Linked DNA regions of Mus musculus: regions 1 and 2 are each reported to be linked to region 3. Evidence: microRNA targets listed by miRTarBase, many of them from high-throughput screens and not tested one by one. Region 3 holds a microRNA gene; each other region holds the end of a gene's coding sequence.
The links. Region 3 holds the annotated microRNA mmu-miR-802-5p (UCAGUAACAAAGAUUCAUCCUU, at 3,925-3,946, shown strand). A microRNA usually pairs through its seed, bases 2 to 8, with sites in the 3' UTR of a target mRNA and lowers its output. Matches are read on the target gene's strand: a 7mer-m8 pairs with bases 2 to 8, a 7mer-A1 pairs with bases 2 to 7 and ends in A, and an 8mer does both.

Region 1: miRTarBase lists Tdrd1 as a target of mmu-miR-802-5p. Seed matches in the 3' UTR shown: 7mer-m8 at 5,222-5,228.
Region 2: the mRNA of Slco1a4 is a reported target of mmu-miR-802-5p. Seed matches in the 3' UTR shown: 7mer-A1 at 7,534-7,540.

Annotation. Positions count from the first base shown.
Region 1 is chr19:56,864,794-56,875,109 of GRCm38, reverse strand. Tdrd1 (tudor domain containing 1) reads right to left here. Exons shown (of 26, transcript NM_001002238.2): 23 at 9,108-9,335; 24 at 8,639-8,685; 25 at 8,468-8,560; 26 at 5,098-6,407. The coding sequence ends at 8,468. It overlaps Vwa2 (von Willebrand factor A domain containing 2), which reads right to left and starts at 694. Exons shown (of 14, transcript NM_172840.2): 1 at 532-694.
Region 2 is chr6:141,799,286-141,809,601 of GRCm38, forward strand. It overlaps Slco1a4 (solute carrier organic anion transporter family, member 1a4), which reads right to left. Exons shown (of 16, transcript NM_001355577.1): 15 at 9,997-10,114; 16 at 6,155-7,895. The coding sequence ends at 7,676. Among named protein-coding and RNA genes, the nearest start is that of Gm5724, 26 kb to the left of the region's middle.
Region 3 is chr16:93,365,813-93,376,128 of GRCm38, forward strand. Mir802 (microRNA 802) reads left to right here and starts at 3,908; the gene lies at 3,908-4,004.

The DNA of each region.
Region 1 (10,316 bases), not on the chromosome of region 3:
GGCAGGCAACGCTGTAAGCAAACACAGCAGAGCATCATCCGCTCCTTTGCCTCTGTCTAGAGCTCAGACTTTTAAATCACGGATTCACAATGTGCTGAGCCCCTCCCACTTTATCTCTGCCCGCCACTGACGTCTGGTCCTGGGCAAGCTGGAAAAGGGCAAAGAACAGGGCCGAGCCAGGTGATGTTTGCTGCGGGGAGCCCGAAGGCAAGCATGTCTCTCCCAGGCGTGCGTTCTGCGAAAAGCAGAACCCCTGTCTCGCTCTCAGAGCAGCGAACTTCCCTCGAGTTCTTCAGGAAGTGACTTATTTGAAAGGACGAGGCTGTCTGTCTAGGAAACCCGGTTGAAATGCTGTAGCACCTGAGTGCTCATAATACGGAGTGATGAGCAAGTTCCCAAAGCTTTTTATCAAAACTCCAGCCCCTTCTGCAGTGGCCAGGGAAGGGGTCCCCACTACGGCGCCAGGCCGCTCGCGTTTCTCCATCCGCAGCCTGTCCCCCGGCCCCCACCTCCCAGGCCAGCACCCCTTACCTGGTGCGACGCCGCGTGCGCTCTCCGGGATGGCGTTCTTCCAGGCCGGCCGCTTAGGTGCGCGAGGACAAAGCGAACAAAGCCGGCGGCACTCGGCTTGGCTGGGCAGGTAGGGGCGCGGGCTCAGGCCTGGGGTTCCACACGCTCGCTCGCTCACTGGCAAGGGTGCGCCCAGTCCTCCGCCCCGCCCCGCCCCAGTTGTTGGAAGGCGTGGGCTCCCACCCGCGGAGCGCACAGCTGCTCTGCCCGCGGCGTAGGCTGGGCTCCGTTCGGGGGGCGCTGCGGCTCGCAGCCACGTGGGGCACCTGTTGGTCTCTCCCAGCAGAGGCGGGACGGGCCGCTCGGATGCAGCCTGTGAGGATCCGGACGTTCGGCGTGAGGGCGGCGCAACTATTGCTCCAGGGAACCGCGCCCGCCTCGTCCCTCGCCCTGCCCGGCGACCCGCGACCCACGACCCACGGACCGCAGCATCATCAACACTTCCGAGCGACCTGGCCGCTGCAAGCGGTGCGGCTGTGGTCACAGAGAGTGTTGGCTACTCCGCAGGTTTTATCGATTCCACCCTTGAGGAAATGTTGACTTTGGCATCGTTTCCATTTGTCTTCTGCTTTTTGCCAACCGGCCTGTTAGTTCTTGCAGGTGAGTGGTTATTGGGCAGCATTCGCCTTTTAACTTAGAGGGTGCCAGGTATTTGTCACAGAACAAACAACGGTGTCCCTTCTGGCAGGTGCTCCGTGCAGATAAACCCTCAAATCATTTTTATACTTAATCAAAACTACATATTGTGTGCTCATTGGAAAAGTTTACAAAATAGAAAACAAGAGAAAGCAAATAGAAAAGCCACTGGTACTCAGCTGCAGACCACTGGGGAAAAGCTTTCATTTCCTCCTTCAAAACCTTAGTTTCTTCCATTGATGCTTGATCATCCACACCTGAGTTGAACATCTGCAGTTTGGGCCGTTGTAACTCTGCTCTACCTATATACACCATTTGCTACTGCTTAATGCTGAGGCCTTAAGTTTAACACTCCAATCAGGTATCTCGGTGGGGCGGCCCAATTACATTTGGAAACTAGTAAATTTCCTAGACTACAAGTTATATACAAGAATTCCATTTTTCACACTTGTGTTTGTGTGTGCAGGTGCATCATCACATGTGAAGACATAGGAGGATCTGGGGGGAGTTTTGTTTTTTGTTGTTGGGTTTTTGTTCATTTTGTTTTTCTTCCACCACATGGTTTTTGAAGATTGAAATCACATTGGCAATCTTGAGGGCAAGTAAGTGCCTTTGCCAGCTAGGCTATCTCCCTGACCAAGGTCTGTTGTTTTTAACATAACTGTCTTCCAGGAAGCTCATCTGTTCCCTATTTTTTGCGCTTTCCCCCAGTATTCCTGTAAATGCCAACCTGCCAGGTAAATACTCCATTTTGTATTTTTACACATTCTTTGTATTTAACATCTCTCTGTTGCATTTCATTCTGTAGTTCTCGGATGGTTTCCAACTCGTCCTGTCTGAGAGCTTTCGGGGAAATTGGCACCTGGCAGCTTTGATGTTGCAAACTTCACTGGAGAGGGGAAAGGTTATTATATGTTTCTTTCTTCACTCAGTTCTCCCTCCCAATACCATTAACTGGAACACCAAAAAGTAACCCAGGATTGCTTCCAAGTAGCACTGAGGGCAGCAAGTGTGGGATCAGTGGGGGAGCCTGCCTCCTGGGTGAGAGGGCTTCAGTTCCATACCAGCAGATTTTAGAGAAATGAAAGGCACATGTGGAATTTCAAATGTCTTAGTGGGTATACAAAGGACAAAAACAGGCAAAGTCATCTTAAAATTAACCCACATGCCCCACGTGTTTCTACATGCAATCAATGCATACTGTACTAAGCCTTCAAAATGCAACAGTGTACACACTGAACAGTGGTACCTGTGGTGAGTGGCCCATGCTGTTATGGACAGCAGCCCTTATGAAGGCACCTTTGACAGCCTCCTACCCTTCCAGTGGTGGCTTACCATCTCCCTGCCCTTCTGCCTAATTAGGCTTACTATGGCAAGACTTTTGGCTATTTTATGGATTCTTCTTTCTTCCACGCTTCCCTCTCCCCATACCCCTCCCTTCCAACACCCTATGATGGGAGAGAGAGGAAAAATCCCCAAATAAAGTCAGGAGTAGGAATGGGGAGAAGGGTGGAAGAAAGAAGAACCCACAAAGTAGCCAAAGGTCCATTTTATCTGGGATAAAATGAAAACATATTTCCATAATATTTTGAAGCAAACCAAGAGTCTTACCACACCTAACATTTTTTACCTAATTGGAATGACTTCACATTTCGCCTCATAACTAAAGTCTCAGCATAGTCTGGGTATGTAGCACTTGCCTGTGTGCTGTCCTACCACTCCTAACGCTCCAGGGAAGCCAGTGGTACCGTCTGCTTCAGAAATAACAGTTGCTGCAAACTTTTCACAAACCTGTCCTGCCCAGGGGCTCTGGGGACAATCAGAGGGTACTCGGGGTGGCAGAGGCTTCTTGTCTCAGAAGCTCCGCAGCTGCTGGACAGTGCTTCCTCTTCGAAGATTCATGTGTTAAGTCTACAGGGAATGACCCAAAGCTCCAGCTGTGCTCAGGACGATGCCTTGTCTTTTTGGCCCCAATGCTTGGTTACTAATGGGGAGTAACGGGCTTTTGGTTTTGTTTTTCACAAGACAAGGTTTCGCTGTAAAGCCCTGGGTGTCCTGGAACTCCATCTGTAGACTAGGCTGTCCTCAAACTCAGACTCCCTTGTCTCTACCTTCTGAGTGCTGGGATTAAAGGTGTGTGCCACCACTGCCCGGCTGAGTAACTGCTCTTTTAAAGTGCATTTGCACAAACTGCCCTGTAGTGTTTCTGCTGCACACACATACACACACAAACACTTCTAAGTCCAGGTGAGAGCTTCAACCCGATTGAGACAAGAGCGTGGTGGAATGACTATGGCTCTGGAGACAGCAAGGTGGTGTTCCTCGGCCATTTCTGCAGCCTGTTGGTTCTGTAATGCAGACAAGATGCTTCACCTTTGAGATCTTGACTCGTGGAGGATGGTGTCATAATTACTGACCACCCGAATGCTTCACCTCCACAAGGAAAGCAAATCTAGGCGCACCACAGACCTGCCAAGGTGAGGACTTCCTGTGACACTGAGGGCAGTGGCAGTGAACAAAGGCTTAGACAACATCGCCCACATTCCAAAGCAAGCTGGTCTGCAGTGGGCCTCACCTTCAAGTGAAGCTAAAAGTTTTAAAACTTTGTGGTGCAAACAGTTGTTGGCATTTTAGTCTAGGCTCTGCCCCACAGTTACCTGGCAACAGCCAGGTGTGCCTGACTTACTGTTAAAGGGGATGCTTGCCCCTCCCTCTCTCTTGCTCCCTTACCCTCCCCCCTCTCCATGTGTGCTAATGGCTGGCCTCTACTCTTCCCCCCCCCCCCCGCCTTTCTCTGTCTCTATCACCCCCTCAACTCTCCTCCCCATGCCCTAAACTCTATTCCAAACTCTATCCGTCATGTGGCTGGTGCCTCAGGGGGAAGGGATGCCTCAGCATGGGCCTGCAGAGGCACCTCTCCCCCCATACCCTACTGTACCTCCACCAAACATATCCCTGGTATCTATTTATAAAACACAACAATGGTGCCGACATCCAGGATTTAGAAACTCAAAGACAGTTCTCACCCCTCTGGTGAGAATCTTCCAGGAAGGCCCCCAGCCCTCTCTAAGATGTATAGCCGTCTCTACTTGAAACACATACCGGTTGCTAGATGATCCAGATAACAGAGGTGACAACACCCAACAAGTGTTGCCAGTGTGGTACCAACAGCTGGCCATTGTAAGTGCTGAGGGAGCGTGGCAGACTCAAACCTTTGCCTTCACAGAAACTCTTTACTTGATTGAGCTAAAAGTCACACTCCCAAAGACCCGTGTCTGTGTATACAGCACAGTTCTCTCCATTTCTGCCCCCTAAGTTCCCATGATAACTTCGCTCTTAATTCTGGTTCCTTAGCCCCACCTCCCTGGGTTGACCTGAAGCCTGAGGCACACAGCAGACTAGCTTCCTTTGGTTCCTGAGGGATGTTCCCTGAAACCTTGATACTTACAAGCCTCTGTCCAGGAAGTCATCTGCTGACAGACACATCCAAGTTTATATTGATCACAACGTCAGGAACCCAGCTGGAGTTCAAGAAATATTTGTGGAATAAAACATGTACCTGTCATATTAAAATGTGTGAGCTATAAAACTCAATACTGTGGTGCACTGCCTGGGAGACTGGCTTCAGGTGACAATTCTACCTCGTGGAAAGGAGCTGCTCCTCCAAGTAGGAAATTCTAATGACTTCTAGTCACCTTTCTAGGACCACGTGGGATCTGAAGCAGTGAAATGTGACTCGGGATTCTGGTTTCTTCCAAGAGCTGTCTGGCTTCTCATGGTGCAAGGGCTGTCCTTGCCACAGCTCCACAGCCACCTGTAGCCATGTGGGTGTTATAGCATCTGTGGATGGACAAGGGGGTCCCCAAAAGGCCAGCAGTAAGCACAGAAGGGCAAGGTGAAAACAAGTGGCTTTATTGCCTGAATCAGGACAAACTTAACTGTCTGAGACACATCAACATCCAAGCAACTTTTTACATGAGAAGGTCGACTCAACAGAGGAGCTGACTCACACTGCCAGTAACAGGAAAACAAAACAAACCCACCCACGTCAATGTTTTACTTATCAACGTTGAGTTGATGATGTCGTATTAGGTTACCACAGGGCCACATGGCACTGAAACTGTGGGACAAGTATGAGAGACTACTGGGCTGTCAGGAAGGCACACTCTGCTGCACATGGCTACGGTTAGGACAATCTCTGATCATGAGGTATGACAAATGTGCTCTCCATTTTTAAATTGATGACTGAATTTGTGTTTGAGAAGACAGTGAATTATTTCTAGAGCATAAGTCTGAATGGCTACAGACTAGTGGGAAAAAAAATCCCAGGAGGCCCTCTGGAGTCCTCCTAGTGTCAAGGCTGGAGCTTGTGGACACACTATGATCCAAGATGAAAAGCCAAGCCATCCAAGCACAGCTGAGAGAAGCAGTGCACATCCTTGGAGTGAGCCACAAGTTACCCAGGAAAACATGCCACCCAGAAGCAAGGAACCAAAGAGAGCGCATCGGGACGAGGCAGCAGATGACAGGGAGCGTCCCACTGGCAAAGAAAGGCCTGGAACGTACCAACAGTGCTAAGACCCAGCTACCGACCACACCTATCCATGCAACACCTAGCCTCCTCCTCTTCAGCACTGTCAAGACAAAGAGATGCTAGAGCTGGGACTGTAGCTCAGAGGAAGAGGAGAGCTTGCCTCGTACATGAGAGGCTCGAGCTTCTATACTCAGTAGAGCAAATACATACACACACACACACACATACACACACACACACACACACACACACACACACTCTTAGCAGAAGGTACCTCATAGTCTTTCCTAGTCGTCTCATACATTTTGAATCTTGATGTCCTTTTGGTTTTGTTTGTGATGAGAAAGCATCTAACTAGGCCCTTGCTGGCTTTGAGCCTGAGGTCTTGCCTCATGCTGCTCATGGCTGGGATTACAGGTGTGCACCACCGCGCCTAGCTCATACATGAATCTCTTCTGTAAGATTCATGTATTTCGTGGAAAGAATCGGGGAGAGGGCAGCAAACCCGACAGAACAAAGTAAGCAAGCACAGCGGAGAGGCTAAAAGTCACTAAGGAAAGAGGAGGAAGCAGCAATTCTAGTGAACAAAACACACACACAATTCTTTCTCAGGTCTGGCGTTTGCTGTCTCTTTCTTCCCAGTGTTTATTTCCAAGAGATGATGTTTCTGAAAGAGAAAAACCAGCCATCATTATGGTTTACACAGAATCACTATGGCCCTTAACTTCAGTTCTAAGTACAGGCAAGCCAGATAAACTAAATTACACACATTCAGATTATACGTGGCAGAGAAAAATTAAACAGCATCATAACAGTGCTTAATTTTTATCGATACTGGCATTAATCAGAGTGAATTATATTCTCTACAAATATAAAATGCAGCTATTGTAGCTCTTTCCAAATATAAAAACAAGTTTCATTTTAACTTATCTAGTCATCCCTTTAAGAACAATGTTAGCACCTCTATTTACAAAATTTATAATGCAGCAACACCTTTGTTATGTACATATGGTTTTAGACAGGGTCTTATTAGACCAAGCTATCTTAACTCCACATCTCACACGCCTCAAATCCCCAAGACAGCACTGCAGGCTGACTAATACCTGGCTGATAACTACTAACGAAAACCACACAACACAGTAGTTATAAAAGCCTTAACATTTGGAACACATATATCTGGAAGTAGATTAAGTAAGGTGAGAATAAATATCCAGTTTTATTTTCCTCCCAAATGAGAAGAGAATGCCTGAGTACCTATGTTATCTCCTCATTCCATGCCCTGCAGGTCCAGACTAACCGAGAAAGAGGCTGTAGCCCAGGGCATACCCAGAAGCTGGGACAGCTCCTCCCCTGTCAGCTGTAAGCTCCAGCCTGCAAGAGGGGGTGAGGTGTGGGGTGCACACCAAGAGCCTGCATGGACACCGTGAGCCTCTGCTTCCTCATCAGACAATAAGGTCATTCTACTACATGTGGGGGTGGGGGCAGGGAGCTACAAATGTGTGTAGTATATGGATAGGGAGCAAGGTGCACTCAGCTCTGCCCACAGGTGTGTGCCATTCTTCCTCAGATTGTTCCCACCTCCCGTTTTACTATGCAACATGAGTCTCTCAATGGCCTGGAACTGACGAGCAAGTTAGGCCAGCAGTTGCTGAGCCACAGTCTCCACTTCCCAGTGCTGGGATTGTGACAGCACACACCTTGCCCTGCACTTCTGCTTCAAGGATGCTGTGAGGACTGTGCAATGTGAGGCCCAGCCCCGTACACAGTGCTGTGTGGGGGAAACTAGCGTGTGTTATGTTTTAAATTCAAACATTTACCGTTCTAGGCTTTCTAATTTTCTAGAAACAATTGAAAATGGCAGCCTTATCTTAAATTATATGAGCACTCTCAGTATCTCTCTGAGGAGAGTTCACTACACAGATGAATAGACCAAAGTACAAATGATTAATTAGCTGGGCTAATCCCAGAAGCCTGTGTCATTGCAGGCTCTTCAGTCGGTCTAGTTAAAATCTTCATTAAATTCAAGATCTTAAGCTCAAGCACACAAAACAGAAATCAAGTATAGAGATGCTAAGGCACGACAATGGGAAGGAACTGTTGCTCAGGGTGTCAGCTTAGGTGCTAGCTTCCTTAGGGACAAACTCAGCAGAGGTGCGCACTCAGTCAGCACTGCTGTTCCAGAGGAGCGACAGCCCAGGGAATCCCAGGAGCTGCTGCAGGAGCATGGAAGAGCCAGCTCTGGGCTGACACTGCACCAACCCCACCCCTCCAGCACACACACAGGGGTGAATAAGTGGGGTAATCTCATTTTGTCCACAAGTTCCAGTTGGCTGCTGGCCATGACTACTTTCTGATGGCCCCTGTTCTTGCGGGGATCCTGACAGTAAGACACGGTTGGGAACTACTGGGATGGGCCCAGCACACTCTCTCTGAACAGTGGCACAGCACAGCCTGCTCCAGTGTCACAGGTGACAGAGTGCCTACCTTCCTCGATCTTCTATCCTTGCCCAGACTCAGGACTAAAGCTACTGCAGCAGACAGAGTCAGTGAGGCCTGAGAAGACGTCAAGTCTGGACACAGTGTGAGGCTAAGCTTCACCTCATGACCATCTTTACAAGTCTCTTCACATACTGACGATGTGAGCAATTTCAAATCAAACAGTAAGAAACGGCTTCACATAAGCACCTGGAGTCGGGTGCATCACAGAAGGGGAAACGGGAAACTTACTTAGCTTCTCAGCAGCTTTTTCATCTCTGTGAATTTACTTTGGTTGGTTGGATTGTTTAAGAGGAAGAGGAGAATCTGTTCGTGTTTCTCAATCTGTGGATGCAAAGGAGACAGTATGATTTCTCTCTCAATGTGAGGCAGCGTGTGGCTTCATGTAGGAGCTGCACCTACCTGTTTCTGTAACTCTGTGCAACAGCAGTCTCTGCTGTGTGGTATCTCTAGAAGCAAAAACAAACAAAACAGGCCTAGGTCATGGCAGTGAGGGAGCCCGCGTGCACCTGTGTGTCGGGGTCTAAGTGTCAACTCCCCAGGACATCACCCACCCAGTCATGTGCTGTGTGTGTCCTGGACTCTCAGACCAGCACTCCATCTAAAGATTAGGTCTTCTATGATGTCTTAGGTCTTCTAAGACTTCTCCTGTTGCTCAGATCAAAGAGAACCCGAAGAAAGGCACAGGCACAGTTGCAACCATTCCAAAGCTCTCAGTCTCGACTCCCACAGCACCAGTGTCCCTGACCTTGGGTCAGGTCAGGCTGAATTGCCACAGGAGTGCAGAGGAGGAGGAGAGGGTGGGGACTGAAGCCGTGAGGAGAGAGACAATCAAAACGACCTCTGCTGTGTATTACGCTTAAGAAAGTACCTTTAGTGGAAGCACTTTTCCTTTTAGAAGTGAGGTTTTCTGCCAGGCCACACATCACCAGATTCTCAGCTATATTGATCATTCCGTTCTCAGAACATTTTTCAACTGACACTGCGTGGACATTCTTTGAAATGGCTTTCACAGAGAGAACCACACTCTGGTTCAGCATGGCATTTCTCAGCAGCTCCATCACTAACTGCGAACAGCTTCCATTCAGCTCCATCGGCCCTGGAAGAGTCACACCCTGAGCTTTGTTCACAGGTGTCCTGTTTTTAAGATTTATTTTCTTTATTTACTTTTGTGTGTATGAGTGTACTGCCTGCACGTATATATGTGTATACCACCTGCCCACAGAAGTCAGAAGGTGGTGTTGGCCTCCCTGGAACTGGAGTTACATACAGGTGGTTGCCAGTCACTATGTGGTACTGGATGTTAACCCAGGTCCTGCAAGAACCACCAGTGCTCTTAACCACAAGCTGGCTCTCAGCCCCATGTCTCTTGTAGAAGATATTTAGGACGCTGTCTAAGGAGACTGGCGTGGCTGGCACCATGCACTACCGAGGCTTACGGCACAGAACAGACACGCTCATGCCTATGGGCTCTGGTGGGAAAGGACAGTGCAGAGGCCAAGCATGCTACAGAGTCACTGTCATCATCTCTGAGAAAAGCAGGACAGGGCCACATCAAGCATTCTCATTTATCTGTTCTTTGCATATTCCAACTGGACGGGTAAGCAGTGGACGGGTAGGCAGTGGACAGGTAGGCAGTGAGCAGGCCGGCAGTGGACATGTAGGCAGTGGACAGGTAAGCACAAGCTGCTTTAGAAGAAGAGTGAGGAGGCTGGAATGAGGCCAGGAAACATCCCCTGGTTCCTATAGGGAGCTGTGACAGAGCAGGCGGTCTTGGGCTCACACCCTGCCACTTGCCATGAGAGCTGCACAAGAGGAGAAAGACAGTCTCCAAACCCTGATATTCTGAAGATAAGCCCCCAAATACAGAGACAGATGGAATGCAGTTTTCACAAGAATTAAAGTACAAAGGAGACAAAATTTCTCTGAAAACTCTTGCTAAGATATTTAGAGGAAGGCAAGCTAAGGATAATTTAGCTACAGCCCCACTTGACTACAAATAATTTAGGATAATTTAGCTACATGGCCCCACATGACTGTTCATAACCCCCACTTGAAGTGTTACACGTGGCAGCCTCCT
Region 2 (10,316 bases), not on the chromosome of region 3:
CAATTCATGATTGGATTTTTTATGTGAACTTGTGATGAACTTTTTAACACTGTGATGAACTTTTTAACACATGATCATGTATTGTGAAAGATGGTTAAGTGCTGAGGAAAAAGAGAAGAGTCAGAGGAACTGAGCTGATGCGAACTTTTTTAGGCAGAAACTTTTAGACAGAACTGAACTAAAAAAAAAAAAGCCTTAGAAGTATTGGCATAGCATTGGAAGAAAAGGCATTGAGAGTAAGAGCATCACTGTGACACCAGAGCAGGAGGAGACAGCAAGATTAGAAGGAGAATGCAGAATAGAATAACTTAGAAATTATGGGTAACAAAAAACTAAGAAAGCAATGTGCTGAATGCAGAAAAAAATCAAACAAACCAAAAAAACAAAAAAAAACAAAAAAAAAAACAAAGAACTGCAGAGAGAAGAAGGAGCAGGCAGGCTTCTCCTTACCACAGGACAGAGCGGGTCCTTTCTTAATAACAAATCAGGATTAATCTTATTAAATGGAACAAAGATTTTTTTCTTACAAGCTTGGGTTAATTCATTCAGCATAAAAAGGGTAGAAGTTTTTTCTTCCTCTATGCAATAAAGATTGGAGCTCATTTTTCATCCAGAATGAGTGAGTTCTTTCTGCACTGGCACTTGGACTTTTGCTCTATATGCATTTGTAAGTATGGATGTGTACATGTAAGTATGTAACTGTGAGAATTATGCATGTGGTGTGTAAGTATGTAATTGTGAGAAGGCATTGAAGTTGGGCCTAATCAATTGAGTGGAAATGTATAAATGTGCTTAAGTGAATCTGTATTTGAAGTTATGTGAGTTTATGCATATTTGATTATGTAAAAGTTTTTTCTTCTGCAAGAATTAGTCTCTTTTCCTGGTTCAATAGAAGTTTATTGCTCCAAACTTTACTTTAGACAGACAAGCAAGAGACACCTGGACAAAATGGAAACCATTCTATCAATCGATCCTTTACTTAATCTCCTGCTGTTTTACTTAATCTACTGCAGTTTCTGGCCTCAGAGGAACAGAGAAGGCAGATCAGCTATGTAGCAAAGAAACTTAGATAAGGAAACTTTTTGTTATTTTACAGCAACCCTAAATACCTTGTAAGACAAGTCTTATCTTCCACTATATTCTTCCCCCTCTTCTACCTCAAGAAGAACCAACAAGAAAGAAGACCCCAGTGGGGATGGCCCCTGGCACCTGTACTCCATAAAATGGAAAAGTCTTAATGAAACTGATGATCTTCTAGACAAATACCACTTGCAAAATTTAAATCAAGATCAGACAAACTATTTAGATAGGTCAAGAACCCATAAAGAAATATAGGCAGCCATTAAAAGTATCACAATAAAAAAATAACAAATACAAAAACAAAACAAACAAACTAAAGAAAACACCCTCCAAAGTTTAAAGCTGGACTTCAACAACAGAAACTCTAGAAAGCCTACACACTCATGGAAACTGAAAATGTTCTCTCTACTCAATGATCTCTGGGTCACAGAAAAAAAACTGAAATTAAAGACTTTCGAGAATTCAATGACAATGAAGGCACAACATACCCAAATTTATGGAACACAATGAAAGCAGTGCTAAAGGAAAGCTCATAGTACTAAGTAAATATCCATAAAGATATTAGGATGTTCTCATACCAACAATTTAAATGTACCAATGAAAGCTCCAGAAGAAAAGAAGCAAAAACACAGAAGAGGAGTAGAAGGCAGGAAATAATCAAAACTCAAGACTGAAATGGATCAGTTAGAAACAAAGAAAATGATGGAAGTAATCATTCAAATGAAGAGCTGGTGCTTTGATAAAATCAACGTGATAGACAAACCCTTAGCCAAACTACCAAAATGTAGAAGAAACAGTGTCCAAATAAACAAAATCAGAAGGGAAAAGGGAGCCATAACAACAGACAGCTAGGAAATTCAAATAATCATTAGGTCTTACTTCAAAATCATGTACCCCCCCAACCGGAAAATCTTTTTTTTTCCCCCAAGTTTCTTTCTTTTTTTTTTTTAATTACATATTTTCCTCAATTACATTTCCAATGCTATCCCAAAAGTGCCCCCCCCACTCCCCTCCCTCCCCATTCCCATTTTTTGGCCCTGGCGTTCCCCTGTACTGGGGCATATAAAGTTTGCCTGACCAATGGGCCTCTCTTTCCAGTGATGGCCAACTAGGCCATCTTTTGATACATATGCAGCTAGAGTCAAGAGCTCTGGGGTACTGGCTAGTTCATAATGTTGTTCCACCGATAGGGTTGCAGATCTCTTTAGCTCCTTGGATACTTTCTCTAGCTCCTCCATTGGGGGCCCTGTGATCCATCCAATAGTTGACTGTGAGCATCCACTTCTGTGTTTGCTAGGCCCCGGCCTAGTCTCACAAGAGACAGCTATATCATGGTATATATAGCATATAGCAACAAAGGCTTGCTAGTGTATGCAATGGTACTGGAAAATCTTAATGAAATGGATAGTTTTCTAGAGAGATACCACTTACCAAAGCTAAATCAAGATCTAATAAACTATTTAAACATCTCTGCAATAGCAATAAGTAACTACATGGTTTTGGTATAGTAACAGACAGGTTGAACAATGGAATTGAATCAAAGACATAGAAATAAACCCAAACATCTATGAACACTTGATTTCTGAAAAGAAGGTAAAACCAAACAATGGAAAGAAGAAAGCATCTTATATGGTGGTAGTCCATCTGGATGTAAGCATGTAGAAGAAAGCAAGGAAATCCATATCTGTCACCCTGCAGAAATCTTGTGTCAAAGTGGACCAAAAACTCCAACATAAAACTGGATATACTAAATCTAATAGATTATATGGTGGGGAATAGACTTGAACTCATTGGTACAAGAGAAAACTTCCTGAACAGAATACTAACAGCCTAGGCTTTAAGACCAATAATTGATTAATGGAACGTCACGAAACCCCAAAGCTTCTATAAGGCAAAAGACACTATCAATAGGACAAAATAGGAGCCTACAAGTTGGGAAATGATCTTTACCAATGCTACATACAACAGAGGGCTAGTATAAAAAATTTGTAAAGAACTCAAGAAATTAGAATTCAACAATCCAAATAACCCAATTTTTAAAATGGCATACAGAACTAAACAGAGAATTCTCAACAGAAGAATCTTGGATGGCCAAGAAGCATGTAAAGAAATGTTCAGTATCCTTACTCACCAGGAAAATTTTTTAAAAAAGACCCTGATAGTCCTTCTTATATGCTACGCTCTCCGGTCGAGTCAACTGGACAAGCCGAAAGGCTTAAAAGTCACTCATGAGGCAAAAGAGTTTCAAGGAAGCTCTCCTCCTGGAGTCTAGTGTTCTCTACCCATACATTAATTTTTCATTCCCGAGTTCCATTACCACACTAGTCTAGAGTATGGATCCATGTGCTCTCTTTCAGTATTTTCCTATTCTAAATGCTCTGACATTGCTAAAGCCTTCCACCAGTGTTCCAACAGTCCAAGGGCATCCTTGACCAAGATCAAGGGTTTAGAATTCAGCAAGATTGTAAAAGCTAAGTCACTCCCTTAACACAGGAATTTACCATCACTTAGGAAGAAGGAAGTTTCAGACCAAAGGAGAAACCAGAATAGATACTATAGCAGAGTTACACCCATACACACGTATTTACAATGGCCTAAGGGGAAGGTGGACTATACAAGAGACTAAAATAGGAACTATGGCAAGGACGCGAAGCCCTTGACCCTGGCTTCTAAGATTAGTGAATTTTAGGTGGAGCCCTTGTTGATCCCAGCTGTTATCAATGTATTCTATCCTGGGTGGTTCCCGTTAGACCTTTTGTGTTTGCATTCCTCTGTTTTATGTAAGATTCCGATTACCTCAATTGTACCTTGCAATATGTCACCCAACTTCCTTATTGTCCTCTGCATAAAAAGTCTGATGTTCGAGTTGTAAAATTACACTCAGATTCCACATGAACTCTCCTGTGTGTGTGTCTGTTTGTCGCTCATCCACGCTTTGCCCACCCGCATCGAGAGACCCCGTTCCACGCAGACACAGGGACCCAGAAGGTCTGCGGCACTTATACACATAAGACTAACTAAGATCAAAATTTTAAGTGAAAGCACATGCTGGTGAGGATACAAAACGTGGAAATGCACTCCCATTGCTGGTGGGAGTGCAAACTCGTACAGTGTGGAAATCAATTTGGCATTTTCTCAGAAAAATGGGAATATCTCTACTTCATGACCCAGTTATACTACTTTTGGGCATATACCCCAAAAATATTCCATTATACCACAGGAGCACTTGCTCAACTGTGTTCATAGCAGCTTTATGCATGAAAACCAGAATCTGGAAACAATCTAGATGTCCTTCAACTGAAGAAATGGTAAAGAAAATGTAGTACATCTATACAAATGGTTTACCATGCAGCAATTAAAAACAAAGGCATCATGAATTTTGCAGGCAAATGGGTAGAATTTCATCCTGATCAGAGTAATCCAAAGCTAGAAACACACATATGGTATGCACTTACTTATAAGTGGGCCTTAGCTATCAAATACAATACAACCTGTTACAATCCACAGACCCAAAGAAACTGTGTACTATGGAGGTCCCAAGGGAGGATATATGAATCTTACTCAGAAGGGAGAGCTAAATAGTAATGAGATGTAGAGAGAGAGAGATGGAACTTGGGTAGCAGGGGAGGTGAAGAAGGGAATGGGGAAGGCCATCAGGTATGGGGAGGAGAGTGGCTGGGATTGAGAATGGAAATGGGGGTGAGCATCTCTGGTGACTAGCTAGAAGCCTGGGATGGGAGAGGATATGGAGAGTCTACAGCATGAATCTAGCTTGGAATCCTCCTACCAGAGGTGAATATAGAGGCTGTAATGGCTACCTCCTGTAACCAGGCATGATTTCCAGAGGAGGGCGGGGGAGGGGACATCAATCCATTCTCAAAACCCTCAACCCAAAATTTGTCTTGCCTATAAATGTGCAGACATAAAGATGGAATAGATACAGAGAGACCAACCTACCAGTGATTTGCTCAACGAGAGACCCATTCCATGTGAAAGAGCCAATTCCTGACACTGTTAATGATCCTCTGCTATGCATATCTGTCACCGGAGAGGCTTTATCTAGCAGCATATGGATGCAGATGCAGAGACACACAGACAAACATCAGATGGAGCCAAAGGAATCTTGTGGAAGAATAGGGAATAGAAGTGAGGAGCAGTTAAGCACTCTACAAGAAGCCCCACAGAGTCAAATAACATGGGCCACCTAGGTTACTCTAGGGGTGGTTCTGATGCTAAGGTCCTGCTTCTTAAAAAACTGGTTCTTGACTTGTCAATAAAGAAGTCATGGGCCAATTGCTGGGCAAAAGGGATAGGTGAGAGTTCTGGGTCTCTGTGGGTAAGAGAGGGATGCAAGGAGAGGTGAGTTCACCATGCTTCAGAGAGAGAAAAGCCAAACAGCCATTTAAGATCTCAGGCAAAGTGGAGGCCTGTGGCTGCTCCTATAGGCAGGAGGTAGGAAATATTTTGCTGGGATTAGATGTAACTGAACAACTAAAATTGAGGGCAAGTGGGAAGGTATGGAGCTAAGAATATTGATAAGGGCACACTTTTTCAGACAGTAGATAGTAGCACCCAGCAATTGTGGCAAAAGGCAAGTTGAAAATGAACAACTGTGTGTCTGTGTCTTTTATCCCTGTATTCAAGGGAATCTGGGTATAGCCTGTTTCCAGAGTTTAGGCCTATCCCAGGAGCTTGGGTGGGATAGTGAAAGCTGCATGTAACAAGTTGCCTGCAGGGAACATACAGGAGCTGGACCTAGACCCCTACACATTTGTAGCAAATGTGCAGTTTAGTGTTTAGTGTTATTGAAAGGTGGTAGAAGCATTAAAAAAATATGGGGCCTATAGGGGGAATTTAGGTCCATGACAATAAGCCCTTGAAAGAGATACTCGTCCCCTGGCAACCCCCAACACCTTTCCCTCTGTATACGTCTATGTATATATCTTGAGCCATAGTTCTGAAACAATAGAAAAGCTTGTTTTTCCTTTAAAAAAAATCTGTGTTTTATCAAACACAAAATAAGATGATTTCTGTATCAGTTACTTTTCACTGCTGCAATAAAATACCACAAATAACACATATGAATAGGCATTTATTTTGACTTATGAATCCAGAGGGACTGAAGTCCCTCATGGCAAGGAGGTATGACAGAAAGCACCAGGCATTGTGACTGAAGCAGAAAGCTGAGATTTCACATCATTACCCAAAACACAAAGCAGAAACTATACTGGAAGTAGGGTGAAGCTTTGAACCCTCCTACATATTAAAGATGCGTGTCCAATCTTCCCTAAGCAGAGTTATTACTAGAAACCACATGTCCAAATGTCTGTGCGTAAGAGGGATATTTCTCATTCAAACAACCACAACTAGTTTTCTAATGTGTACTTTCAAGTTTATGAATTCCAGTTTTATAGCAAAAGTCAGTATTACAACTTTCAAATTTTTTCATTTATTAATTGATTTTTGGTGGGGCATGCACAATTAAAATAAAAAGGCATAGGGCAACTTGCAAGAGTTTGTTCTTTTCTCCTGCCATGTTGATCCCAGGGATCACAACAACCTTGTCAGGCTGAGGGGCAAACAGTTCTTTCCATTGAACCTTCTAGCTGGTCCCTCTTGAAAGCTTTTACTCTACGGTTATTATTAATGTTAATAGTCATGTGCTCTATGGCTCGTTAATAGAATGAACACTGAGCCGTCAAAGTTCTATGAATATGAGAATTAGTCTTCTCAGAATATCTGATACTACATCTAGACAAGTGATTTTTATTACTTTATCAGTTTACTCTACCTTGTGGTTGAACTCAGGGCCTCACATGTATTAGGCAATCACATATCCACCGAGATACAGCCCATCTCGACAAGGAGCCTTTAAAAGGACTAGTTTTCTCCCATTCTTGATTTTAAGGAAGAGTTTCATGACCAGCTGTGAATTGCTAGGGAAAAAAGTTCCAATCATTTTTGCTACATGATTTTTAACAACCTGATTAAAGTTTTCAATGATGCAAAAGAAATGACCAACTGTGTGACAGGAGTAATGAAAGAAGGGACTGAAAACAGGAGATGGCCACTGTGGAGAGTCTAACCTTGGAAGTCTTGACTAGAGTAAAGCAGAGAGAGTTAGCACTCCTAAGTACATAACAACAGATGTAGAGATCTTTCACACACAGAGGATAAAACAAATTATTTCAGTGTGGCTTAACAAAGTTGCCTATTTTGAGCTCTAAATACCTCCAGCATCAAAATATAAATGAAAAACATTTAAATAGTCTTTCTGCAATAGAAAAGTTTCAAGCTTATTTGAAGATATGTGGGAAACATCCATTTCCCTTGAGTTAAAAGAGAACATACTTTTTGAAAATGAAGGCAGCTTTAATGTTAAGGGTGGGGGTTTGCTACAGAAGTTTTCCCTGGGAAAATCTTAAGTGCTACACCAACCTTCTGGAAATGCTATCAGTAAATATTTTTTATCATGAGTAAAGTAATTTTGAAGGCCTTAAGAATAAGATAAGAGTTCCGATTGTACTTCTCATGATTCAAAACTAGTGACATGTGCGTTCTGGTTCTGGCCTTGCACTGGCCAGTAGAAACCTCATCACAGCTTAGTTTTCCGTTCTCCATCATTCTGCATCGTAGGACTTCTGTGCACATTTGTGCACTTGCTTTCCTTCGCAGTGAGCTTCATTTCTGCAGGATCTGTGTCTGAAGAGTCGATGTCCCCAGGGAATTGGAATTTCCTCATAAGGATTAGGATGAAGAGTGCAGGGAGAAAGCTTGCTCCTCTTAGAGCAGCAGGCAACCCCAGGTAAATGCGCCTATTGAAAAGAACTAATCTGTATTACATCTCAATGTGTTAAGGGAAAGTCAATTTTGTATATTCTTACAGATCATCATTTATTCTTCAAAGAGAAATATTAGGGGATTATTTTCCCATATTCTTTATATGATATATTTTCCCATATACTTTATATAAAGTATACATATACTTTGCTGAGTTATTAGTTGACATGTTGAAAACATTTCCTTTTTAATTCTTTCTTTTATTTTTACATGTATGTAGTTCCTGTTGCTGCTTAAGATTTTATTTATTTTATGTATATGAGTACACTGTCACTGTGTTCAGACACACCAGAAGAGGGCATCAGATACCATTATGGTTGGTTGTGAGCCACAATGTGGTTGCTGGGAATTGAACTCATGACTTCTGAAAGAGCAGCCAGTGCTTTCAACTCCTGAGCCATCTCTCCAGCCTGAAAACATTTCTATCATAGAATTTTAAATGTATTTTCTTTTTTTGGGTAATGGCTGGCATTGTTGTCAACTTGACTGGATTTAAGAACATTATAGAAATTCATCTCTCAGTGTGTCTACAAGAATATTTTCAGAAAGTTTTAGCTGACAATGAATTTCTACCATGAATGTGAGCACCATGCTCAGACCTTCTACAACTTGAGGCTTCCTGGGAGTGGCCAGCCTCCTCCCACTCCACCACCATGCTGCCTCTGTCATTATTGCCTGTTCTCCTATATACTGACTGAATAAAATCCTATGTCAGGTTAAGGGAATGCTCCTGTTTTATTTGCTTAAATTTTGATCACACACATGCATAAAATATTGCAGAGTCACTTTTCAAGTTTTCTTTTCAGCATTTGTATACTGTGTTAAAACAATAGGCAATTTTGCTATTGAAATCCTTGGATGTCTAAAATTAGTCATGTTGGTCACTTTTTACATATTAGTAAATTCAATTTGTTAATTTTCATGCTAAGTTTTGGATATATAGTGGTCAATTTACGTTATAATATTATTATTTTTATCTATGTGAATGTGTTGGGTCACAGTGTAGGTAATTAATTAATGAGTCCTGGATATCTGTGAACTTGGAGTAAAGGAAGATGGAGTAAAATTCTGATTTCCCTAATTTGGGTCATGGGAAATAAATTTATGCCCTACTCAGGAGCAATACGTGCTCTTAACACCTGCGTCATCTCTTTAGCCTCACATTCTTTTCATTTGCTGATCTGGTTTAGTTAAAGCATAAAGACTTCATAAGCTTCCAGAAATAGATTAGCTAATTTTCCCTTTGACACTCCTTAGAATAACTTGTATAATTATTTGTGTACAGCTATAAGCACATTTTCTTTGTAAATTGGATAAAATATACCTTAAAGTTTCCATACTTATGTTTGGGGTAATAGACATATTTGACATATGCATATTTATTCCAAATTATAAAATATTCCAAAAATCACTCTACTGAGTCATTATTGTGCTCATGAGGCAACTAACCACTAAGTGAAGTAGGGGGTTACAGGTTTCTGGAAATCAAACTGGCAGTCAAATGTAGACAACAGGTCCCTTCTGGCTACAGAACTCAGCATGATTGTTTTTAACTGAAAAGGTGCTACAAATATTTGAGGTTTCTCATCTAGTCAGGCTGCAAGCAGGAGAGAGCTCTGAAGTATCCAAGAAGTAGAATGTCAGATACCATGCTGCGCAAATATGTCAGGACTCTGTCATTCCAATCGCTACATAAGGGAGGAGTCCCTTCTTTCTGTCCATAGGTATTAGTTGGTAGCAGCTGAGAGATTTGTTCCCTCTTACAGCATCATTGTCCCATGTCTCTGTATCTTGCTGTCATTTTTTTAAATCTCTGGTGTTCTGCCATGTTAGTTCACCTCAAGATGTAGATCTCCTCTGCTACTCTAGAGCCTGTATTCAGAGACCCTGATTTCACTCGTGTGTGTGTGTGTGTGTGTAGTACTTTTGAAATAATAGAAAATATTAAAATATATAAATAAGAAAATTGGACCATCCATCATCCATGCCCATTCTGAAAAATCACTCAAGAACATGCTAAATATGAATAGAGATATTTTATACACTACAAGATTAGGTCTCAAAAGTTATCTTTACCTGAAGCTATTTATATCATACATCCTGCATGCCCCTGGCTCACCACATTTTAGAGTTCCCCAGTGTAAACAGGTTCTGTCTATCAAAGCACCAAAGTAAATAGGTGCTGGAATACCACCTGCAATGGAGAGAGAAAGAAAATCAGCTCATTGGCAGGAAGAAAGAAAAGAGATATTTTTATTTTATTTGGAATTACTTAAATTTTCCTATTTTTAAAATAAAATATGAAGTTATAAATAAATGCTCCAAATATATGTTTATAAATTAAAAATTAATGTAAAGCTTCTAGATTTAGAAACAAGAAATGCAAACTATGTACA
Region 3 (10,316 bases):
AGCAACATTCACCAGAACGGGGAAGGAGGCAACAGGAGATGCTCAGGGGCCTTTATAAATGGAAACAAACTCCTCTGACATTTTACAGAGAATGACTCTCCCTAAATACAGGCCAAGGTGAGACATAAAACTGAGCTACCTGTAGGCCAAACTCCATAGGCTATGTCATCAGCAGACATCAATAAAAGATGTCAGAAATAAAAACAAAACCTTTCTTCTAAGGAAATAGCAATCAGGTGTCAACCCCCAAGAATGATCTTTTTTTTTTTTTTTCATCTTTTTCTGTTTGATGCTAAGATTCAGACCCAGGGCCTCAGTCACACTAGGCACACATTCTGCCACCAAGCAATGCCATTACCCAGGAGTGCACTTTTTGTAAACTTTTTTTTTTTTTGGCATCCATTAATCACAGCTTCCTACAACACTTCAGGGACAAAGGGGAAGAAACCCTTGCTTTGCCACCATCTGCCTTCCAGAGCTGCTGAGGCAGAATCAGGGAGGGCTGGGGACCCGCTTAGAGAGAAGGGCAGAACCTGAGTCACGTAGTCATGGCCTCCGGGCTCAGGCTCCATTTATAACCTCTTCCTTAACTTTGTTTATCTCTGTGGGAACATGCTGAGGGATCACACTTTCCAGAAGTTGGGGCCCCGTGATCATTACTTGTCATCAGAGGAAATGGGATTAGGTGGTTTAATTCCTCTTCTCAGAAAGTCCCTGCTGTAACAAATGGCTCCTCAATGACCTTCGTCCCTGGGTGGGGCTGCTGGGCTTCACCAGTCCCTCTTGGCTTTGGTGCCATAAGGACAACTCACAAAGGTTGTAGCCTTGAGACTTACCTCCACCACAAACAGAAAGGGGACTGGAGAGGCTCACCTGCCTCAGCCTTTACGTCACAGGGAGGGTACGTCTGTCAGGAAATGATAAAAACTTCAGAGGACTCTGCTTGTACTTGGTTGGATGTACCCAAGGACCATACGCAATGGAGTGGCTTATACTGTGGGCCAAACCCTCTGTGAGACTGGCAGCAGCTCCAGAAGCCAAGGGTGAAGCCTGGAACATGTTCCTCCTCCTATCCCTCAATGGAACCAATGCTGCTGAAATCCTGACCTTAGACTCATGTGCACATGTGTACATGCACCGGCAGGCATGCACACACACACACACACACACACACACACACACACACACACACAGAGGCTACAATCAAACTCCCTACAGAGCTGTGTTTGGAATGCTGCAGTGGATGTTTGGCAGTGACAGGCATTTGGTGCTTCTGGGTCCTATGAGTGAGGCAGGCATGTGATGGGGGAATTCAGCATCTACCCTCCCCACCAGGTTCGCCCTGGTACTGCCACCCTCAGCCACAGCCTCTGACAAGTCCTATACTGCTGTGGGTCGGGAGCTGACTGGAAACTGGGGGAAACTAAGGGTGGGTCTGGGAGGAGCTGAGAGAGGGGAGTGACTATGACCAAGATACATTGTATAAGATTCCGAAACAATTAATACAAATGTTTAAAATGGTCTTTTTAAAAGGTTGAAGAGAGCCTGAAGGAGAGGCCAGGAGCAGATCACCCATGGGCAGAGGTCCATAGCTGACCCCTCCCTCACAGACCAAAAGTAACCAAATCTGATTCTGGCCTCCAGAACCGTGAAGAAATGCCTGCAGTTTAGTCAGCTCCGTCCATGGTCCTTGGGTCCGTCCAGCAAAGTATACACTGGGGCCTCTGAAGTTATTAAGACACATTAAAAGAATGCCTTTGTAGACTTGGTTCTGGAGGCTTGGTCAGTAAAGTCCTCGCCCAGCAAGCATGAGCGACTGCATTCCATGCTCAGAACCCATGTCAAAACCCTGGGTGCGGTGGGGTACACATGCTTGTATCCCAGTACTGGGAAGGCAGAGACGGCCAATGATGGACTCTGTCTTTATAAAACCAGCTACAAGGTTCATGAGGAATAGCTGAGATTCACCACTGCTGCACACACACATATGAACATGCACATACCATACACATGTGCACACACACCACGCCAGACACACACATGTGCATACACACACTAGTTCCAGTGATAATCATGAAGCAGAATCCATATGAGCCCTTTCAGACAGAGGTTAATACAGTGAAAGAGGTACAGAGATACTTGTAAAAGGAAAATTTTAAAGGCAACATCCACATGAGTCAGTCTATGAATTATTTGTGACTTTTGACTCTCCGGCCACATGACAGTAGAGGAGAAATAAGCAATCCTTTAAAAAGCCAAAATGTCATTACTTAAGCCAAGCCCTGCCTGAACTGTTCTAATTGTATCTAAATTGTTTCGTAGGTTCCTCTCTCGATAGTGTGATGTGGCAGGTGCCCCGGGCCTTTAGCTTGCTAATCAATTATTAATCCGGGAGTTAATAATTCATGTTAATTGGTGCTATAAGCACTTTCTCTGGCAAATGTGAGCAAAGGTCACAACTTTTAACAGCAAAGGGGAAACATTCTCCAAGTTTCTTTTTCCATGGCCTATCATGGAAATACCAAGATACGGAAGACAAAATTTAACCAGAACTGGGAAAGCAAGATAGCTCCACAGCTGAAAGATTAGACATCTCTCTGGGGGACCAGCTCTGTTCCACAGCCTGCTGGAAGGAGGAGAGGTCTCCAGGGGACAAGGGACAGGACTTCAGCCCCACAGGAGCGCTCCACTCCGAGGATGCACTCTCTAGGCAGGTTTGTGGACCTTTGTCAACAAGATGAGTAATATAAGTCCTGCTAGTCAGAAAAGCTTTTCTTCAGAAAACAAAAGGAAGCATTGGAGAGGCTAACTCTCTTGTGGGTTTTTCATAGGATGCCTTTTCGAAATTGTAAGACTAGAGGACACAGTCCATCCTAGGATAGCCACAGAAGGAGTTCCTAGCAAAACCTCACTACCGTTGAGCACTTTGACTTTAATGAATGTATGTACACTCTGAGCTCTATTTCCAGGAAGAAGACGGGGTGACTCCTCATTGCCACCGAAGGCAAACAAAAAATAGCTTCTTACTTCATCCGCCCTGGACTACCTTCCCAGCCCACTCCTTTGCCCTGGGCCTACAAGGCAGCCACCTAGGCCTGGGCGCTGCGTGTGTTTGATCCCCTTTGAGCCTTGATAATTATTTGAAAGGTTTGTGTCAAATCCCAGCCTGATGTGATGAAATAACTCGTTCCCATTTGGAGAATAAAACTATTCCTGGTAGCTTTTTACAGCCTCGATTAAAAGATAGAAGTCAGCTATGCCGAGAATGATTGCTGCAGACTTGGGATAAGGCTTAAATGGAAACCACAGGTTCAAGGGTGCCAGGGCCGGGAGGCCAAGCTCAGACTCTTGTTTTTTCTAAGGGGAATGTCGGTAACATATGCTTTCCATTGCTCCACTTTTGACCATTTACATACTGGGGGGCTGTGTGGTTGGCAGCAGGTCCTATTTTTAGGAGTCCTTGAAAACCTTCCCTTTTTAACAGTTCTCATTCTGGCACATACCTGTGTTTTAAGCAAAAGGAAAACCCAAATCCAAGATAGGAAAAGAGAAACATGTGTACAGACACGGGGGATTTTTGCAGCCCTGGAGTCACACAATAAGAAAGCAATCATTCAGCTACGACTTTAAAGATGGATCGTTGCCCGAATTTTCCGACTATTTTCCTTCTAAATGACTGTTTCTTTACAGATCTAAACTAATGTAAAGAGACAGGTTGTCCCCGTGCCAGGAGCGAACAAGCAAAGTAGGACAGAGGCTGTTTTCTAGGGAAGGAATGTGGCAAGATAATGCCTGCTCTGTCTCCCGCAGCCGCTAGCTCAGGCAGAGACGGAAGAGGATACTGCCTGCCCACGGCCTGGTTGTGAGCACAGGCTCCCCACCTGACTCTACATAACCTACCGACTGCGGTCCTATTATTTGCAATCAGTAACAAAGATTCATCCTTGTGTCAATCATACAACACGGAGAGTCTTTGTCACTCAGTGTAATTAATAGCCTTCACCTCGAAAGGGAAGATGAGAGGACGCTGTTCGCACGTGCCTGGGGTGTCCTCGGAGGGCGTTTCTCGTGGATAAGCGCTGCCTTCTGACATAGTAAGCCAATGGAACTCCAGCTGCAAGGGGGAGGTGGCAGGGGCGGTGGAGGTGAGGTAAGCTGAGTGTGTTTGGGGAGGCTGGGCAGGGAGCCCAGTCAGCAAGTGCTCATTGAGGCCCTGAGCTCTGTCCCTGGAACCCACATTAAAAGACATACATGTGATCCAAGCACTGGAGAGAGAGGGGACAGATCCCTGGGGGCTGACTGACCAGCCTTGCTAAATCAGCAAGCTCTAGACCAGCGAAGACCCCATCTCAAAGGCAGTGGACAGAGCCTGAGGAATAATACCCAAGGTTGACCTCTAACCTCCACATGCACAAATGCATGTGTGCACACACGTACGCTTGCCTGTCCACACACTAACATGCACATATGAGTACTCATGCACTGACACTGTAGCCTCTACAAGGGCCTACTGCAAACCACGCTACCTATTCAGTCAGGAACCTGTCAGAGAAAGGTAATAGGCTCAGACTTCAAAAAGACAGCACTGAACACAGGCTTGAAGGTCCGAGGAGTGGTGTCCCGTATACAGTTGTTGTGCCAGTCAAGAATTAAGACAATCCCCCACAGACATGTCCAAGGCCAGTCTGGGCTGAGCGCTCCCTCACTGAGATTTCCTTCTGAGGCAGGCAACCGTAGCCTGGGACAACTTTACAATTTATTCCAACTTGGGCTCTGTGCTTCGTGACAAATATACCATTTTATTAAAGAGGATTCATTGTGTACTTATTTGCAAGTATGACTTTAACTCCTCATCCCGGCACACCATTTTTAGCTGACAGAGTCCTAAGTGTTTAAGAGAGTGAGTGTCCGCATCCCTCCACCCCAAGCTCTTTCTGACGCGTACTGTTGCTTACTATCCGAGTGTGCATACTATCCGAGTCTCTGTGTATATATAAACATGTTCATTTGTGTGTGCATGCACACAGGTGTGCAGGTGTGTGTACACATGGGAGCACACGTGTGTGGAGGCCAGTGCTGGTGTGGGAGTCTCCTTTGACCTCTCTTTACCTTATTCTTCAAGGCAGGGTCTCTCCATTGACCACAGGGCTAATCAGTAGGGCTATCCAGCTTGCTCCAAGGACTCTGTCTTTTCTTTCTGGGAACTAGAATTATAGGGGGGGGTTATCATGGCATGGACAAGTTCAGGGGATCTGCACTAAAGCCTGCATGCTTGAGTGGCAAGCACAGTTTCCACTTAACCTATTTCTCCAGACCACACCAATGTTTAATCTTGAGGACAATGTAGATTACTGTGACTGGGAATAGACGCAAGCACACACACACACACACACACACACACACACCCCACACATGCATGCGTGCATGCATGCACACACATGCACACACGTACATACAAATGCATGCACACACACGTGAGTACTTGAGGCCGAGTTCTTTGCCTCTTCTCCGCAGGGAACCAGGTAAATCTGAGACCCATCTTAGGTCGTTCACATCATCGCAGTCAGAGCAAATGCTGCTGAAGAGACCGCATGCAGTCACCTGGGCTGCCTCACCATTCCAAATACGTCCTCTTCAAGGCCATGCTTGAACTGTACCACATGGCACTCTCTCTCTAAATCCACTGAGAATAATGCCTTCGGCCAGTGTTCCATGGTTGTTTAAAACCTTTCACTACCTCTCTGTTGCGTATACTATACACCTGTGCTGAACGCTAGGCTGGACAGATGGATCTGGGACACCCCAGAGTCTCCATTCCCAGTGGCCTAGTTCTCCTGCTCTCTGTCTGAATACAAACACTGGAGGCTGGTGCCGTTTTGTGGTAGATTCTATACAACAAACAGAGTTATTAGGACAACAGCAGAAGCCAAATCACATCCCTAAAGTAGCTTGTGAGCTTGGCCAAGGTCTGGCTTTGCACTCATCGGTCAACATGGGCGCTGTGTGGTGACGGGTAACTGCACTGTCAGCCAGACAGGATTTAGAATCACCACAAAACACATCCCTGGCTGTGTCTATAATGTGTTTCCTGAATGCTTTGCATGAACAGGGAAGGTCCACCCCAATGGGAGCCAGGGTCGCAGGCTGTGTGAAAAGGAGAGGGTGAGCTGAGAGCCAGACTTCAGTCCCCTCTGCATCCTGACGCCAGGTGCACTGTGAGCAGCGACCTGGTGTGCCTGCTCCATGGCTTCCCCACTGTCACAGTCTGCACCTCAGACCCTGAGCAGGAGAAACCCTTCCAGGCCGAAGTTGCCTTAGTCGGTCAGGTGTTTTCTCATAGCAGCAGGAAAGTGACCATCACCGCTGGACCACCAAACCCAGCAGCCTTTGCTCTGTGTTCTAACAGGAAGCTCATTCCGGCCTCTCAGCCACAACACCTTTGCAGTTACTCATCTGGAAACCATGGATTCACAAATCCCAGGCGTTACCACGGCGGCGACATCTTTCCGTCTCACGCCTTAGTCAGCTCTAGCTGTATTACAAAACACTATGGGTTTAAACCACAGATGTTTGCTTTCTTGAAGCTCTGCGGGCTGTCACCCAGGGTCACGATCCAGCAGGGTTTCTCCTGCTGTGTGAAGGGTCAGTTTCTTGCTGTGTCCTTTCGGGTCCTTTCTTCAGGACACACCCACGTAGAGACTGTCCTTCCTGTAAAGACACATCTCTCTAGGACTCATTAAGCCCTTACCACTCACTAAGCCAATAAAGCAATGAAAGCCCCATCCATAGGCCCTGCCCTGCGGGACCTGGGGCTTTGGGAGAAATTCAACTTAGTCCACGCCAACCCATATCTCAGTCCCCTCAGAGAATTAACCCACTCTCTACACAGCACGATGACTTTCATGGACTTGACTGCTCTACAAGTTAGCTTGCCAGGCATTTAGCGTAGGTATTTTTATTCATGATACATTTAATATAATGGTACAGTGTGCATGCTATTGCTGTTTGTGAAGGAAAAACATAATCACACTGTATGTGTTTTAGGCTGAAGAATATGAAATTAGTCCTACATAATCAATTTTTACCTAAAATGTCAACTTTGTAAGAATACACCCACGTATCGGTGATCACTGTGGATCAACTGCGCAAATAATTTGAAATTTAACTTGCGTTTACTGCCATGCGTACATTTTGTTAATGGGAAAGGTCACAGCAGCTGGCGTGATGACCTAAACACGAGATGATGCTCTATGAAACTGAGGAGTTTCGATGCTACCACCAACCTGAGTCACAGCAGGAAGACAAACGGATGCTCTGATAAAGGCCACTGCATCTGCCTCTAGAGTGACCGCACCTTTTCCTCTTTCGTGAATTATTAAGACAGGGAAAAAAGGAGTTGCTGTTCTAGATGCAGGTGGATGGATGCTGTCAGGCATCGTGTTTCTTCCTTGACTTTGCTTGTCATTAGCTCGGAGTTCCGCCTGACGTGTTTACAGAGGCCCAGCAAGGTTTTAGAGCTGATGAGACATTCTTAGTTAGATGGTGCCTGCACCTCCAGTGGCTCCTAGACCCACTTAAAGTCTTTAACCTCACTTATATTGTGCATTAAGGAAAATATGAACCTGCATTCCAGGTACCACTTCCAAGCTGGCTGACGAAATCGTCTGAGAAAACTACAGAAGCTGCAAAGGAAGGACAGCTTGGTGGCTATGGTCAGCTGAGTCTGTGCCAGGCCAGGGGCTGGTGAAGGGGTGTCTGTCCAGCAGACGATTTGGTGAGCCCTAGAATAGAGGCACCTTAGGAAACAGCCACATTGGCAAACACCCAAACTGCCAGTCTCAGGAGCCGGATAGACCCGTAAACGGTAAAGGACTAACCAGGAGAAGCTGTGTGCTCTGAGACTATGAGTTCATGAACTAGAAGGCCAACACTCGGCCACACCAGACCCACGGGTTAAGTTCTGGGGCTAAGGTACTTGAATTCTTCTCACTTTAAGGAGCCTGGGTATGCTCTGCCATAGCTTCCTCTGCCCAGCATGGCCTCCTCCCCACCCAAATCCACCAGCCAATTTCACAGACTCTCTTGTCACCAAGACCTGGATGCCATCTGTTTCCTGCTAGGACGTGAGTTTTCAGGAGTCTCTGATTTCTCAGTCTCCACCTGGATCACGGTTCAAGCCCAGCTCTTTGTCCTGCTGTTTCTCTCTGTCCTAATTCTCAGAAGTGTCATCCCTGCAGGGGTGTGTGACCACGGACTCCACTCATTCAGAAGAGGAAAGCAAACAGCTGGCTTCCCACAGGGAAGTGTGTGTGTGTGTGTGTGTGTGTGTGTGTGTGTGTGTGTATGCGCGTGCGTGTGTGCGTGCATGAGCATAAATATGTTCCTTATGATATTTCTACTCATTTTTAAACTACCTAAAATGGATCCCAGAAACCCTGAATGGTCATGAAAGAACTACACACACACACACTCACACATACACACCACACATGCACACCCCCCATACACATACCCCCCACACACACACACATACATACCACACACATACATACCATACACACCACACCACCCACACATACCACACCATACACATACCACACATATACACACACTCAAACACACACCATATACACACACACACACCACACATACCACAAACATACCACACATACACACATCACACACACACTACATACTCACATACCACACATACACACACACACTCACACACATACACACTCCACACACATACCACACACACCACACACATATACACACCACATATATACACGCACCACACACACACAACATGCACACATCACACACACACACACACTCATGGCAAAGGCAGTACACATGGACCCTCCTATGACCACATATCTCTCCATTCACTCTATTTCCCAGACTCCACTGACATTAGCGAGCCTCATCTTCACCGTGGGATTTGAAGGAGCCATGTTACCTCTGAAAGACCGTGTCTCCCTCTTGCTGCCCCCTCACACACACACACACCTTTTCTGTAACTGAATTGGTAAGAACAGGCAGCATCCGGTCACTCCTACACACATCAGCTGCTGGATCCGTGCCCAGCAGTCTGAATCTACAGCCTGGAACCACTCCCCACCCTGTCCTGTTTCCCCCCAGCACCCTTCTAGGACCTGAACACCTCCCTTTAAGGGTTTGTTAAGATGACTCCCACTTCCTTAGCATGGATGTCACCACTGACGCAATGCAGTTTTAGCTCAGACTCTATAGTGCAGTTTGCTAAAGCAAACCCCTACAGAGGTGTCAAAGCCACCCTACAGCCACTGCTACATCAAAATGGCTGTGCCCTCCCAGGGTTTGTTCTTTTGGTTAACAACACTCCTCCCAAATGAGCTGGGAAGATTATTTCTTCAAATATTTCTTCACAACTTAGACAATCTCTCTCCTGTAAATCCACTGTGAATAATGGCATCTGCCTTCCAGGACAATAGGAAATCCCCCACTTCCTTGCACACAATCGCTGTGGCAGGGTCACGGACTGGTTCGGTGAGTCTGGCTGGGACTTCCCCTAGGTTCTATTCAGGAAACTTTCTGGAGGCGAGGATACACACCTGTAGTCCTAGCAGCTCTGGAAACTGAGGCAAGAGGATAGCTTGAATCTGGATGTCAGGCCAGCACTGACAATAGATCAAGGCCCTATGACTAAAGGAGAAAGCAGGAGAGCCAATGTAGCTGTCACTTCCCTTATGGACTTCTCCCTTCACCATGAAAGCCCTGGAGCAATGGCAGGATGCTACTGCAGGAGAGTCGCTGATAGCTATTTAATAGCCCTGAACAACACATCCAGGCCATTCCCTCTGAGGCTTGAGGAACACTGAGGAAAAAGAGGCAGAAAGAACACAAAGGCCAGATAAGGGTAGGAAGCAGGCCTGTGTACTAAGATCTTCTAGTCAAAAGACAGCCATTACAATCCCCATACACAGCAGCCTCCAGTGCCTGAACTGGGTCTTCTCAAGCACAGACCTGTCTGCAGCAGGCCTTGGGAGAAGGGCTCAGGAGCCCAACCCACTGAAGACTACTGGTTACCGATGGATTCAAGGAGCCATGGCTTCTGTTGTGTGCCCTCTGCCGATCCCACCAGGCTTTATTGGAGAGTTCAGTCCCGTGCTCACACGCATGGCTCGGTTAACCTAATGGGGTCACAAGTAAAACCGGCAGTCATGGATCTGGGAAATGGGGGCGGGGGGCAAGTAGGGGGATAGAGACTGGGAAAGAACATTGGATAAGAAGAAGGTAAGAGAGAGGGAGGGGGGCAGAATGCATTATACACA